Linked DNA regions of Medicago truncatula. The protein of the gene in region 1 interacts with the protein of each later gene in a pairwise test. Links are inferred from orthologs where the notes say so. Each region holds a gene or a part of one and is shown on either strand. Other genes may lie near its edges.

What was found.
Region 2: the proteins of phytochrome A (region 1) and glucose-induced degradation protein 4 homolog interact in a two-hybrid assay, tested with the Arabidopsis thaliana proteins (3 studies listed by BioGRID). The link is inferred for Medicago truncatula from reciprocal best matches to the Arabidopsis thaliana genes PHYA and AT2G37680.

What each region holds. Positions count from the first base shown.
Region 1 is NC_053042.1:41,897,618-41,904,748, forward strand, and holds the start of phytochrome A, read right to left. Parts: upstream 3,026-7,131; 5' UTR 2,583-3,025; intron 2,073-2,582; 5' UTR 2,062-2,072; coding exon 6-2,061; intron 1-5. UniProt on the Arabidopsis thaliana protein: Regulatory photoreceptor which exists in two forms that are reversibly interconvertible by light: the Pr form that absorbs maximally in the red region of the spectrum and the Pfr form that absorbs maximally in the far-red region.
Region 2 is NC_053045.1:6,954,809-6,961,954, forward strand, and holds the start of glucose-induced degradation protein 4 homolog, read right to left. Parts: upstream 3,013-7,146; 5' UTR 2,918-3,012; coding exon 2,866-2,917; intron 2,759-2,865; coding exon 2,703-2,758; intron 302-2,702; coding exon 158-301; intron 1-157. Other genes in the region: eukaryotic translation initiation factor 6-2, read right to left, coding at 5,811-6,017, 6,093-6,203, 6,313-6,443.

The DNA of each region.
Region 1 (7,131 bases):
CATACCCTGTAGTGCCAGATTAAGCATCTTCTTAACTATATCCGTTGAAGAATCCTCAACAAGTGTGAGCAAATGTTTTCCAATAGCTTCGCCAACCGGAAGACCTGTCAACTCGGAAATTTTGATATTCCAACCATTGACCATCCCATCAACATCCACTGCCAAAATAGGCACTGTTGCTGTTTCAATTAATCGAACCATCTCACTTGTCACTGCTTCTAATTCCTGCATCCCTTCGATCTTCAAATCATTTAGTCTTGTATTGATTGCCTTTGAGTTTAAATCAATCATATCTGTATCTTTGGACGCGTTTCTCAGTATTAACTGTAACGAATGAATAGCATCCATTTCAAAGTCTTTCCATGGTATGCTCCTAGCCTTCACAACTTCGAGGAAAGCCTTAAATGATGATCTTGGATGCATCTTCCTACCATCATCCTGTTCGCCAGGTTCATGCTTTGCACCACCCCATCGGATTTCTGCAGCGGTGTGCGACCTAAACCAGAAAACTATGTCTTTTGAAGTTATTCTAACAGCTGCCATTCCACATACAGTATCATTAAGTTTAAGAGCCCCTGGAAACCCTGCATCAGACAAGCTATCCGTACTCAAACCAGTCGAATCCGTATGGTACTCGGACATCCATAAAGCTATCTCTCTTATCTGAGGTTCACTCGGCGTCGCTCCTAATATCCATAACTTGTTTCTATACAAGAGTGCAGCCCCATCACATTTCACTAGATCCATTATATTAGGGCTTTGTGATACAATACCTAAGGGTGCATCTCGCATCAGCATATCGCACAACAGCGTCTGTGTGCGCAGGATATTCTTCTCAAGAATCTGAAATTCTAATTCTATTTCTTTGTTCACATGGATGGCAAATACTTGAGCCAGAAATTCACAAGCATACCTTAGAGGAAAAGGAACAAACCTTGGTGTAGTGTTATGACAAACTACCAAACCCCAAAGTCTCTTTTTCTTTTGTGGGAGAACTGCATCAGCGCTATCTCCATCTTCATCGCTGTCATTGACTACTACAGCCATAACCAAGGAAGCAATTGAATCCATGTTAGCCATATACTGCAAATGGCAACTATGTGGGGCCCTTAAGGTCGAACCACACAAAGTCAAATCAAATGGGAGTTTTTCGTCTTGAAGAACCTTCACATGTTTTGCGTGACAATCAACTATCATACGGACCTTGTTCTTCATAAATAAAAAGCGCGCAGCCTGGGGAATATCTGTGGCCGGATAGTGCAATCCTAGATATGGCTCTAGGCCTGTCTTTGTTACCTCAGCAATCACCTCCCCATGATCATCCTCGTGAAATTTATAAGCCATCACCCTGTCATAACCCGTTAGTTCAAAAACTTCTTGAACCATTGTATCGCAAAGCCTTTCCATGCTGCCACTAGGCAAAGATTGCAATCTTGTAATTGCTTTAGCAGCAAGTTTGTAAGACTGTAATGCGCCTGCTGCAGTCATGGGAACTTCGTAAGGCTTCACTGGCTCAAAGTCAATGATCAAACTACCTGTAACACGGTGAATGATCGCATAAAATGGCTTCCCAGAAGTCTTGCAATGAACAAGGATAGGGTTAAGAAGCGAAACCTCCGCAAATCCCAGTGCCTTCTGTAGCGCAGAAGCACTCGGTGCGGTGAAGATAGTTCTTATGTCAGTTCCAATGCCAAGGGCAGGGTGGTCACCGACACTAGGGACAGCATGACTCACCATGGTCAGCATTTCGGGTGCATTCTCACTGTATGCAATAACCTTGCACGTTTTCTCGTCTAAAGCTAGCAAGCAACCAAAAGGCTGGATCTGCTTGCCTCTTTGTATTGTATTGAGGTAAGCTGTTGTTACTTTGTTGGACCTCGGTTGATGCTCTCCATCAACTGAGCCAGAGACGCGCACCGAACTTGAGTAGTCAAAGGAACTACCAGACTCCTCAAAAGTTGCATGAAGTTTTGCATCTACCGTCGTCTGAGCAATAATCCTAGCACTATTTCTTGATCTCCCTGAGTTGTTGGATGATTGGCTAGGCCTTGTGGTCGACATTTTATCACAAACTGCATTTACAATGATTAAAAAAAAAAAACAACAACATAACTACCGAGTTAATCCAAACCATATAAGAATCATCACTGAGCATATGTGATACTGCAGAACTTTTGAAGTCTATTACTAATTTACTTGAATGTCAATCTTTGTAATTGTAACTCTCCTCATAAAACATGTTAAGGGTTCAATCAGCACTCTCAATCATAATACTAACAATTATGTAAGGTTTTAATTAGTTATAATTTGAGTTGTGACCCAATCATAGAAGAAAATAAACAAAACTCACACATCAAGTGAAAGATGACAGTATAAAAATTGGTTGTAATCATTAATAATCATAACTTTCAGAAAAAAATTGATTAGTACTGTCAGTTGATTCTATAAACAATGATGACACCAAACAAGTCAGAAACAAATCCATCATTACAATCATCAAACAATTGTATCTCTTTCCTTTTACAAAACAGAAACACATGAAGCAAATTCAACAAGACAAGAACAAATAACAACTAACTAACCTTGTTGGAAGGGAAAAACTTGGTTGATGTGAAAGAGTAAGTACAAGAAAGGAAGGGTTAAAATAACCAATTGTATGTGACTACCATACCATACCCTGCACCTGCAGCAGCAGCAGCAAGCACCGCCCTTGTTTGTCTCCCACCCAGCTGGAGCCTCTACTTCACAACTCCAACCAAGCAAGGTCAGTATAATTCAGCACACAATTGTGACTGAGAAGGGACCGCCATCATGCCATAAATACTATATAATATATCAATTTTTTATGGTGCCCCCCATGTGAAGATGGGAAGGAATGAAATGAATAAAGATAAATAAAGAATATAAAAATCAAATCATCATCCAACACTTAGATAGATTCACTCATCACACCAGCATCCATCTACTTGGTGCTGTTTTTATTATTATAATAGTATATGTAAAAAAATATCTAATTTGGGCAAGTTGATTGTTTGGCTTTGTTCCTAAAATAGATAAGAAAAAAAAGAAAGTTAAATAATGCATGATAACACATACACTTAATTAAACAACAAACATGGTAGTTACTGTTACTGCTTGCTTCCTTGACTTTCCTTCCTTTTTCTCTAACATCACTCAATTCACTTACCATCTTAGATTTCATGTCGGCTCTTAATTTAAATTTATTTTAATAGGGGTCATTAACTTTTTTTTAATCATGTAACTCGTAAGTTCGTCGTATTACCGGACTATCGCAATAAAGCATTTGTTTTTTATTAGGATTGTGTCACGTCCTAAATAGATGACTTTTTTCTAACCATATTTAACTTATAAGCGCGTTGTATTACCACATTCTCGCAATAAAACATATGTTTTTTTTATCAGATTGTGCTACCTTTTAAATAGACGACTTTTTCAAACAATATTTAACTCGTAAGTGCATCGTATTACTTAACTCTCGCAATAAAGTATTTGCATTTTTTTTTATCAAGATTATGCTATCTCCTAAATAGATAGCTTTTCTAACAATATTTAACTTGTAAGCGTGTCGTATTACCGCATTCTCAAATCGACAAAAAAACATCTATATTTTTATCTAAATGTGTTACCTCTTATATGAACAATTTTAGAAGTTAAACTCAATTTCTTTTCCTAAAAAGAATCATATTGTCAATTCTTTTAACACCACTTTGGTACAATGTTCAATAATTATTTTTTTGGTACATGTAGGGTTCATAAATCATTGAGTTTTAAGTCCTAATTCCCCACCCACAATAATTAAACATAAAAAATTGCTAACTAAAGAAAAGTAGTGGAAAAAAGTTAAGATATTTATTAATAAAATTTTTATTTAATTATGAGGTGGATGAATTTGGTTGGATGGGGTCCAAGTCCCATACATTGGATATGGAGAAAGGAGTAAGTTATGGGTGTCACGTGCAAAGGCTCAAAGTTTTGGTGATATGCGGCTAAGTAAGTAACACAAATGCCATGTCATCATATCCTTTGTTTTTAATTGGTGGACACTGTTTATATCTCGATATCACATTCATCTCTTAGATCACATTCACAGCTAATATATCTGTCTGACATAAATAAACTTTCATCAAATTAGCCCATGCCTCGTGTACCACTGTAACGTTACTGACTCAAAGGAAATGCCTCCATATATACTACTCAACTGCATTATTAATCGGTTTCGGGTTTCCTATCCTTTAAGATTTCTTCCTTTTTTTTTTTTTTTTTTTTTTATAAAAAATAAAAATAAAAATTCGGTTTCTTAATTTATTTTATTTTACATTTCTTCTTTGGTAAGTTCTTGTTGTTTATCTTTATGTAAATAGAGATGTAAAAAATGGGACGAGTTAATAGGTCAGTCCATTAATCGACATTTTGGGTTGGGACAGGTTTAAAAAGCTAATCTAAAATGTACTCGAACATTTTTTGCCCATATAAAAATGGGATGGGGCTGGTCTATTGAATTGAGCTTTGGGCCAGCTCATTATCAATATTTCCGTCTGACTTTTATTAAAAAACATTGTATTTTTTAAAAAAATGATCAACTAATTTAAAATTTATTAACAAAAACATGAGTAAAATGTCACCGTAAGCATAACTTAGTTGACAAGGACATGCATTGTTATATGCTAGGGCCGGAGTTCGAACCCTAGACACCCCACTTATTCACCTTGAAAAATGTGAATTCTAACTACTAGGCTACTTGACAAAAAAAAAACATGAGTAAAGAACTATATATTTGAGTAAGGGTTCATATCGAAATAAAATCGTAGATTTGAATCTTGAAAATTTATATGCCAATTGACCAAAAGAACGAAAATAACGTGAGAAAAAAATAAAAAATGAAATTGTTATTTCAAATTAACTTAATGGATGATGAGAGTAATTTTGCCTATTATTTTTATAATAAATGAGTATATATAGTGAATAAATCATGTATGTTCCTTTCAAATTGATTAGATCAAATCAATTTTGTATGTGACCCAACTCAATCGACAATGTATAAATTAAATTAGCCTTAATATTTTGTGTGTGTAAGTGTTTAGATGACTTTAAAACCTATTTTTGGTCCGACTGTTGGGTGGGGGCGGTCCCACTTAGGGACAGGTTTAGGAGGTTGTTTGATTTATCAGTTTATAAGGAAAAGACGGTGGCGGAAATGTGTTTATTAGGTTGGGAGGAAGGTGGAGATGCTTGGGGGTGGCGGCGTAGGTGGTTGGCTTGGGAGGAGGACCTAATGAAGGAATGTATATCTTTGCTTTCTAATGTTATTTTGCAGGAAACTACTACTGATATATGGCAGTGGCGTCCTAATGTGGTAGATTGATACACAGTCTGTGGTGTGTATCAAATGCTTATGAGGCAGGAGATGCATAATCACGATGAAGTTATTGACGCAATTTGGCATAAAAATGCTCCTTTGAAGATTTCAATTTGTGTGTGGTGACTTCTTCGCAACAGGTGGCCTACAAAGGATAATTTGGTGCGACGTGGTATTATTCCGTTTGATTCTCATTTATGTGTGTTCGGTTGTGGTAATAACGAAACAACAAATCACCTTTTAATTCACTGCCCGACTTTTGGTGAGTTATGGCATCATGTAAAAACTTGGATTTGAGTGGATACGGTGGATCCCCAACATATTATGGATCATTTTCACCAATTTGCTTACTCTTCGGGAGGTTTTAAACCCCGATCCGACGATCGTTTTTGCAGCTTATTTGGTTATTCACGGTTTATGTGCTTTGGACTGAAAGGAATAACAGACTGTTTTCCAACAAATTAACATCTATTATGCAGCTCATGGAAAAGGTCAAAATTACTTCATGGAATTGGCTGAAAGCCAAAAAAGTTTGTTTTCCTTTTGGTTACCATTTGTGGTGGCAGCAACCTCTTGCATGTTTGGGCATTGGTTGACTGTCTTTTTTTGTACTATTCAAGATGCTTGTTGTTTTTTGTTCTGCTCTTCTATGCACTCCTTGTGCTAGATAGTAGAACCGTTTCATTGTGGTAATATATCTCATTTTTGTTTGTTAAACAAAAATGTTTAGATGACGTTTACCACTCATTTTATGGACAAAAAGAAATATTAGATCAGTCTTTAAATTAAATTCAAAATCACAACCTTTATATTGTGAAACTAAAAAAGAATGTAAAGGAAGTTAAATTATTGATTTGGTGAAATTTACTTAGATTCATCAAAAAAGAAATGGGACTGACAGGAATTAATCCACATCACAATACAAAAATTCAATGTTTTTTAAGTGACAATAAAATTGAATGTTGGTAGCAAAATGTGATAGGTAAATGCAAGAACCGATGAATAAAAAAAAGTATTCTCTTCAGTCACAATTAAAAGGAAAAAAATTACTTTTTAAATTCATTAAATAAGTGATGTATGTGACCTTTAATATAGATCACATACATCATTTATTTAACGAACCTAAAAAGTAATAACGTCAAGGTCGTTAGTAATTCGCCCATGATAACTACTATTATCGACAAGACGACAACCAATTAATGGATAAAGGTACGTACTAGTTTTGATGATAACGACTTTAGCAAGACGGTTATTTTCTTTTTTGAAACTTCAAAGGTCGACTAATCCAAAATCCAAATGAACAATAGTAGTATAATCGTTTACTGGTATCAAGTCAAATTATAAGCAGAACAAAGTCAATTTTCCGGGATCATCCACCAGTCATCTATGTCATTTTCCAAGTATAAATGCATTAAGACACATCTCTTTCAAATAATAAAATTAAGACACATCATGATTTATAAACAGTAACATACGGGATCAACATTGCCATATGGTAGCTTACTAGCCAGCAGCTATAACCTTTGTCGTCCAAGAGAGAGTGGGCAAATCATCTAAATTCTCAAACATTCCTCCCATCCACTCTTATCCTAATAAATAAAAAAGAAATGGCCACAAATAAGCTCTATTCATTGTATTCTTGTTAATACAATGTTAAAAGTTGTTGGTTGGAAGTTGTAAATAGTGGTTTGGAGACGTCTCTAAAATTATCACCCATGAATACATGAGCTAAGTTGTTGTTGATTAAAAATTGA
Region 2 (7,146 bases), on another chromosome or scaffold:
CATACGATTAATGTTGTCTTACAGATTCAATTTGTGACAAATAGTTCAAACTGAACTAGAGAGAGCTCATAAACATGGATATTTTCTAAAGGAAAAAAGTGGTTTCTTTTTCTTTATTTCCTTTTTAAGAAAAATGAACTATAGAGAAATTTCTTACTGGCGTGTCTGCCATAGGAACATTAAGAGCTTCCATGGTGCCACATAGATATCCATGCTCAAGGTCACATCCTTGTATACGGACATTTACCCTCCATGCTTCATCCTTTTGTAAGCTTGAAACATTCTGCGTCCCCGAAAAGGCCTGAAAATATAAAACATCCTGTAAATATAGGACAACTTATATCTATAAGCCCTACTTATCGTGTTAACCAATCAAGGTGTAACACGTAACCTCAAATTTTAAAACAATTAAACCACCAGTTACAAATGGATCAGAGTATAATCCCTCCACTTCAGAGATCATGTCTTATAACCGTCCCCATTCATGATATTTGCTTGATCCCTCCATTAACCAATTTTTTTTCTTCTAATTATACTTCCCTGGATTGACCAAGCCTTTCCGTCTATTATACTTCAAATAATGAATGGGATTGAAACCCCAGTAGCATGGCAGTAAAAACAACTTTGGGAAGAGCGCGATAGGGAGAGTCGTGAGAGACCTCACAAACGAATATGGGAACAAAGATCCTAGAAGAAAGCAGCAGTGAACAGGTCGATTTGTATCACCGTAGCAAAATGAAACCACGATGTTACTCCCTTAACATCAATGTTTTTGCAAAAACATCCTCATGTGTGTTTTTTGACTTTTTTTTCTTCTTAAAATACTGAAATACGGTGTTTATATGATTGGAACAAATAAGCTACATGTTCTCATATGATAGGTTTATAGTATCTAGTGTCAACTATAAATGCGGTTGTACAGGATGTAAGTTCTGTCCAATAAGATATACTAGCTGAAAGAGTAAAAGCATGTTGTGATTCAGAGGTTTAAAATTTGAAGTTGTTTTCTGTATCTATTGCTTCAGAAACCAGCAAGCTACAAACATACTGAGAGGACTCTAGGTTTGGACCTAAACTCAACAACTAAACTGAATAGGGAAGTTAGTTACTGACACAGCAAAGGGAAAAGGAGTTGGAGGGCCTGTGTTCAAACCCGGACAAAGGAGAAAATATTAATCTAACAAACTAACTACTAATATTTGCCATTTAAAAAAAAGTTACCGACGCAGCATTAGAGGCAAAGGATCTTCAACGGGAAGGGAAATAAACCAGAGCAAAGCTCCTACATGAGAAGACATTCTCCGAATAAACCAGAATGATTCCTTCACTCCCCCTGCTGCACGATATTCCCACTCAACAATAACAACAACAACCAAGCCTTATCCCACTAAGTGGGTCGGCTACATCAACAACAACCAAGCCTACATGAATCAAAGGACGCTATAGTGTTGTATCAAAAACCATGTCTTTCTCTAACTCATTTACCTCTAGATCCTTCCTAATAGTTTCTCTTGTCGTTTTTCTAGGTCTACCCCTAGCTCTGGTGATCTAACTCCCTTCCATCTGATCTACTCTCCTAACTACATAATCCACAGGTCACAAACCACTCAGTCTAGTTTTTACCATCTTTTCTACTATAGGTGCCACCCCAACTCTCACTCTAATGTCATCATTTCTAATTCTATCCCGTCTACTATATTCCTACTCACTAACAGAATTTAGTGGGCTCTATCTCTAATGCCACATCAGTAACTAACTTCCCTATTCGGCTTAGTTGTTGGGCTTAGGCCAAAACCTAGAGCCATATCACATATCGGGTATATATATGGCACAGGTGCACATACAATACATTTATACGACAATTTATAAAGCTATACAACCAGTACAGCTGGGTTCTTTTTTTTTTTTTTTTTTTTTTTTTTTTTCCGTTCCCTTTCAAACCATGGAATGGCTTAGGGACCAGCCAATACATCTCAGGCTTCAAAATTCACCAAAACCAGAATTTGGCTATACATCTTAGGCTAAAAAATTCACTAAAACTATCAATTGGCTACATTTCCAGAAACTTCAGAACCATTGAATCAGCTCCTAATCCGTTATGAAAATTGAAATAGAAAAGTCTTCCTCGAACCACAATGTAGTCGCACATAACACAAACCATTCACTCAATCCTCCATTCTAATGAATCCAATCTCAAGCTGTAATGATGTTTTTATTGCTTTCGTTCATGATTCAATGAAAAAAACAAATAATACTCAATTACATTTCAATTTCATTAATACTATCACTGATATATTCCCATCAGCAGAAGTTAATTATAGTTACCAATATTGAAACCTATGAAATCCAGATACGTAATACACGAGCAGGTGCAACACAATATGGATACGTGTATACGCGAAATTTTTTCAGTATAAAAGCTTCATAGATTGAAAGCAAATATCACTTTGATCAAACCTAAAATGATTATTTCCACTAAAATTATGTTTTCTTCTTCTTCCAGATGGAATATTAAATAAACAATAAGTCACCAATGTTCCATGACTTACCCACTTGAAATAAATGCATAAAAAACATAAAACAAAGAAACCCAATTTCAAAAGGGTTTTTTTTTTTTTTTTTTTTTTTTTTTCTATACCCATTTTGTTGAAGATTGAAACAAAGCATAAAAGAATAAAAAAAAATGAAAATGAAGAAAGTACCTGACCAACAGTTAGAAGAGTACAAGATTGGAATGAATTACGCCTTGAATTTGCACCTAAAACATCAACAAATCAAACAAGATTGTTGAAAACAACAACAATAATATTCACAAAAAAATCACTGAAACGAAGAAGAAGAAGAAGATGAAGAATATGTTTATACCTGAAACGTGAGAAGGGGTTGTGATGTTTTCCAATGCTACTCTCACAGGCATGTTGTAGATGTAGAAGACTGATCGCAATGCTTGTGCTTGAATCAAAGACCAAAGAGAAGAAATCAGAACATAAAATTATTTTTGGCTTAAATATACGAACAGTCTCTGTAAATTTGAAAAAAAAAAAAAAATTAATTACATCGTGTAAAAAAAAAAAAAATTTGTTTTAAAAATGTCCTGACCCCACTTCATTGGTGATTTGGCAAGGTTTTGGGCCACGTGGCATAAAATTTTGTCAAATCACCAATGAAGTGGGGCCTGAGACATTTTTAATAATTTTTGTTTTACAGGGATGTAATTAATTTTTTTTTTACAGGGATGAAAATCAAAATGCGCTTAAATTACAGGGACAGTTTGCATATTTAAACCATTATTTTTCTCAAATTTACTTTTTTATATTTTTCTAAACAAAATATTAAAAATAGTAAAAAAGGTCTTATTAACGGGACACTGGTTAATGAATCCAAAACTAAAAAAAATATCTTGAAAATATAAACTGTTATTTTTTACTAACTAATTATTACATCACTTTTTAATTAAATCTTACCTCTTTTTAGCTGCTTAACCAATACTCCGGGAACATTGGTTAACATTGTCCATAGTGAAAATGCAAAGTGGTCCCTGTAAAATAAATAAACATATCAGTTGTATACGAATATAAATAATTACACATATCACTTGTATACAAAAAGAGACAAATGAAGGTTGACATAGTTGATAAGATATGTTTTAGACTCTAATAGACTGGACAAAACAGGTAACGAAACTTAAATATTTATTTTTTGAATTTAATTAATGTACAATTATTTTGCATATGTATATTATATGTTGTCAAATGAATTCATGAACATGAAAACAAACCTGCAAAATGTTTTTCATTTTTGATGTACCATGTAACAAGCATAAAACCACCTGAAAGAAATAAAATATAACTCTAAAAAAAATTTGTTGGGCAAGGCTACCATCATAAACTGTCATTAGTATCTTTGTAACTTACCGAGATTAATTGGATAGTTTCAAACTAGAAAGATTCACTAGCTTTCTGCATTGATAGAGGCTAATTGAATTTGCTACACCGTTATCACCATGGCAGAACTAATTATTTGTTTTGATTTAGAGAAATCAGTGAAAAACCATAGAAATAAGCAGAATCAAACATTCATGTGCTTAGATCATAAAAATGAATGGCCATATATAAAATAGAATAACATACACATTTTTAAATCTAACGGGTCACTTCCAACTGTATATAATTTAATTGTTTATTTACACTTATCCGTTACTTAAAATAGTTAGTTGTTCTTCTTATTACCTATACAACAGACTAATACTTTTTTTTTTTTATCATGTAATTTAGTGACTAGAATTCACCATTTTTAAGGTGAATAAGTGGGGCGTCTGAGGTTCGAACCTCGGCCTCTGCATATAATCATGCATGTCCCTGCCAACTGAACTAATATTATCAAGCACTTATTTTATTTTTAGGTTTTTTAAAGGATTTTATTTTTAGGTTGTTTTATATTTATTTTTTGCTAACTTAATTTCAGGTATACTGATTTGAAAACATGTTTGATGCCTGTACCGTGTCAAACAAAGAAGAAACTGCTGGTGGGGTATTGAAAAATTAGCCACAGAGACTTCAGTCAGTTCCACCTAGGATTAACATGGGTACCATTGAAGTTGTAACTTCAGGGTACCAAACACTAATTTTTTCTTCATAAAAAACATCCAGACATGGCAACAAAACCTATACCCGTGGTTATCCACCCGAATCAAACTCAATTTGACGGATTTTCTCTGTTTTGATTGGGTTTGGGTATGGGTTTGGGTTTTCCCCAATTTAAAAACACGGGTATGGGACGAGTAAAGGGTATATATGTACCCACCCCGAACCCATACCCAAACCCGTCCCAAATGCAAAAAAACTAATTTATATTGATATGCCATGTTATTTTGTTTGATAATTGTCGTGTTATAAAAACTAACATTGATATTTAAAGGAGAAACTAAATCAATCGGTCTAACAAATGTTAAAGTGAACATATTGTTGATAATTTATTACAAAATTTCTCTAGGGGTTACAAAAAAAAACTTCTATTTTTTATTAAAAAAATTATTCAATGCGGGGACGGGGATACCCGAACTCGTCGGAGACGGGCATGAGGTTCAATTTCTCATCCCCGTTGGATATGGGTAGGGTAACGGGTAAGTATATGAGAATCGGGTATGGGAACGGGGAATGTAAAACCCGTCCCCACCCCGCCCCATTACCATGCCTAATTCCAGAACACCCATATGTGTATTATAATTATGGCATTGGTTTGCATATTCGAGTTTAGAAGGTTATGATGTATGATTTCATGATTATCACTAATTTGTCACATGTTAACTCCTTACATATTTATTATAACATTTTATTGTGCTAATTTATGAAAATGCCAATTTAGAATCATGACAGCAAGTTTAAAACATTGATTGGACTCACGAATCAATTTGTATAAAAACCTCACAGATCCAACCTAACAAAATCAGTAAAATAGTAACGGGAAGAAAAAAAATGGCAAATGAAGAACGCATGTTTCAAGAAATTCAATCTGTACACCATCAATTTACAATAGAACATGACCCAAAAAAAAAAAAAAAAATTCTGAGTAATGCTATATATCTAGAAGAATTTGATCACGATATGGTCGCGAAAAGAAAGTTTGCCTGGCCGGAAATCACGGCGTGTTGGTCTTAAAATTTTGTTTTGGTGAAGCGGTGGTCAAATTAATTTAAAATCTAAGGGACATTAGCTTGCCATATCATTCGGGAAATCATCACGATGAAGAGTGTATTAAAACCAAAACTCAATGTAGCTACTAATGAGCAATTTCCTCGTCCCATCCAACATTCATAATGGTTCCCTCAGCTTGAAAACTCTATCAATCACACAGAGCTCTGCTCTTGTGGTGCTTGAACCACAAAAGGCTGTCCAATCATTTACGGTCATGCCAGGAGCTATAGCTTGGCTGCCTCGGTTGACGGTCCCAGTTTCAAAAGGAACTCCAAGAGCTGCAGAAAGTTCATCCAAGACTTCTTTGGAAGCATGAGGGTGGATCTGCAGCAAGTATATCGTCAAAAGACCTGAATTACAAATTTTAACTTTTCAAGAGAACATGTCTTGTGTACTAACCAAACCACCTATGTTGGATAAGGCACAGTAACTTCCAGAAAAAAAACTATAATAATCTTCCGGCTTGAAAACTTCTATCCCAAGGATATCTGTGATTAATTCCTTAGCATCCTGAACAATATATGGCAGTAAATGATACTCTATCAAAATCAACCTGTCTTAAACAAGAATGAGATAGTGGCCTGGAAAAGAAATCTATGATGTACAATTAAGACAATACCGAGTGAAGATCGGCGTGCGCAAGGGCCACATAGTCATTACATGCTATAAATCTTGAAGAAGCACACAATTCTTCTTGCATGAGCTGAAGAGCAACTCCATCAGGCAGACTTCTTTTTATATGCAGCAATTCTTTAGATAACCATGGCAAAAATATCAAGTACTGCATTATCACAAACGGTGTGGAGTTCTATTCCACAACAAAGATGAAACAGTATATATAAAAGCCATATATAAAGAAAGTAATAAGTGATAATTAAGGAAAGGCAACACTTCTGAGTATTTTTGTGTTCTGATAAAGACAAATAAGCAGATCACGCCCCAACAAAAAAATGGAAGAAACAAAATGTGAAAGGCCAAGACTGCTGATAAAAGATCCCAGATACTTGCATGCAGACAAAACTTACAGTATCTTTTGGATACTTGATAGTCAGATAACTCTGAGTCTAGACAATCATCATGAAACACCCTTTTGTTAAAAAAGTATTTTAAACAATCTGGTATATTTATGTTTTTCTGTTGACAACTGTCCAAAAGCCATAAAAATAGTCTAGGTAGTGTATAATTGTTCACCTCTCTGGTGCTAATAACACTAAACCAAAGTTTCCTAGCTCAAAATATTCTTCAGTGCAAATAAAAATGGTATCTTTTACCAAATATGTGGTACATAGGAGTGACTTAGTCGGTGCTACGTTTTAATTGGTGTGCTTTCAATAGTGTTGTCGATGGAAGAAATCCAAAAATCAACCATAAAGAACAGTTTAGGTTCTTTAGTGACCTAAACAATTGGGTGATTTGTTTCATGGTGGAAGGGGGAGTGAATATGTTTTGACAA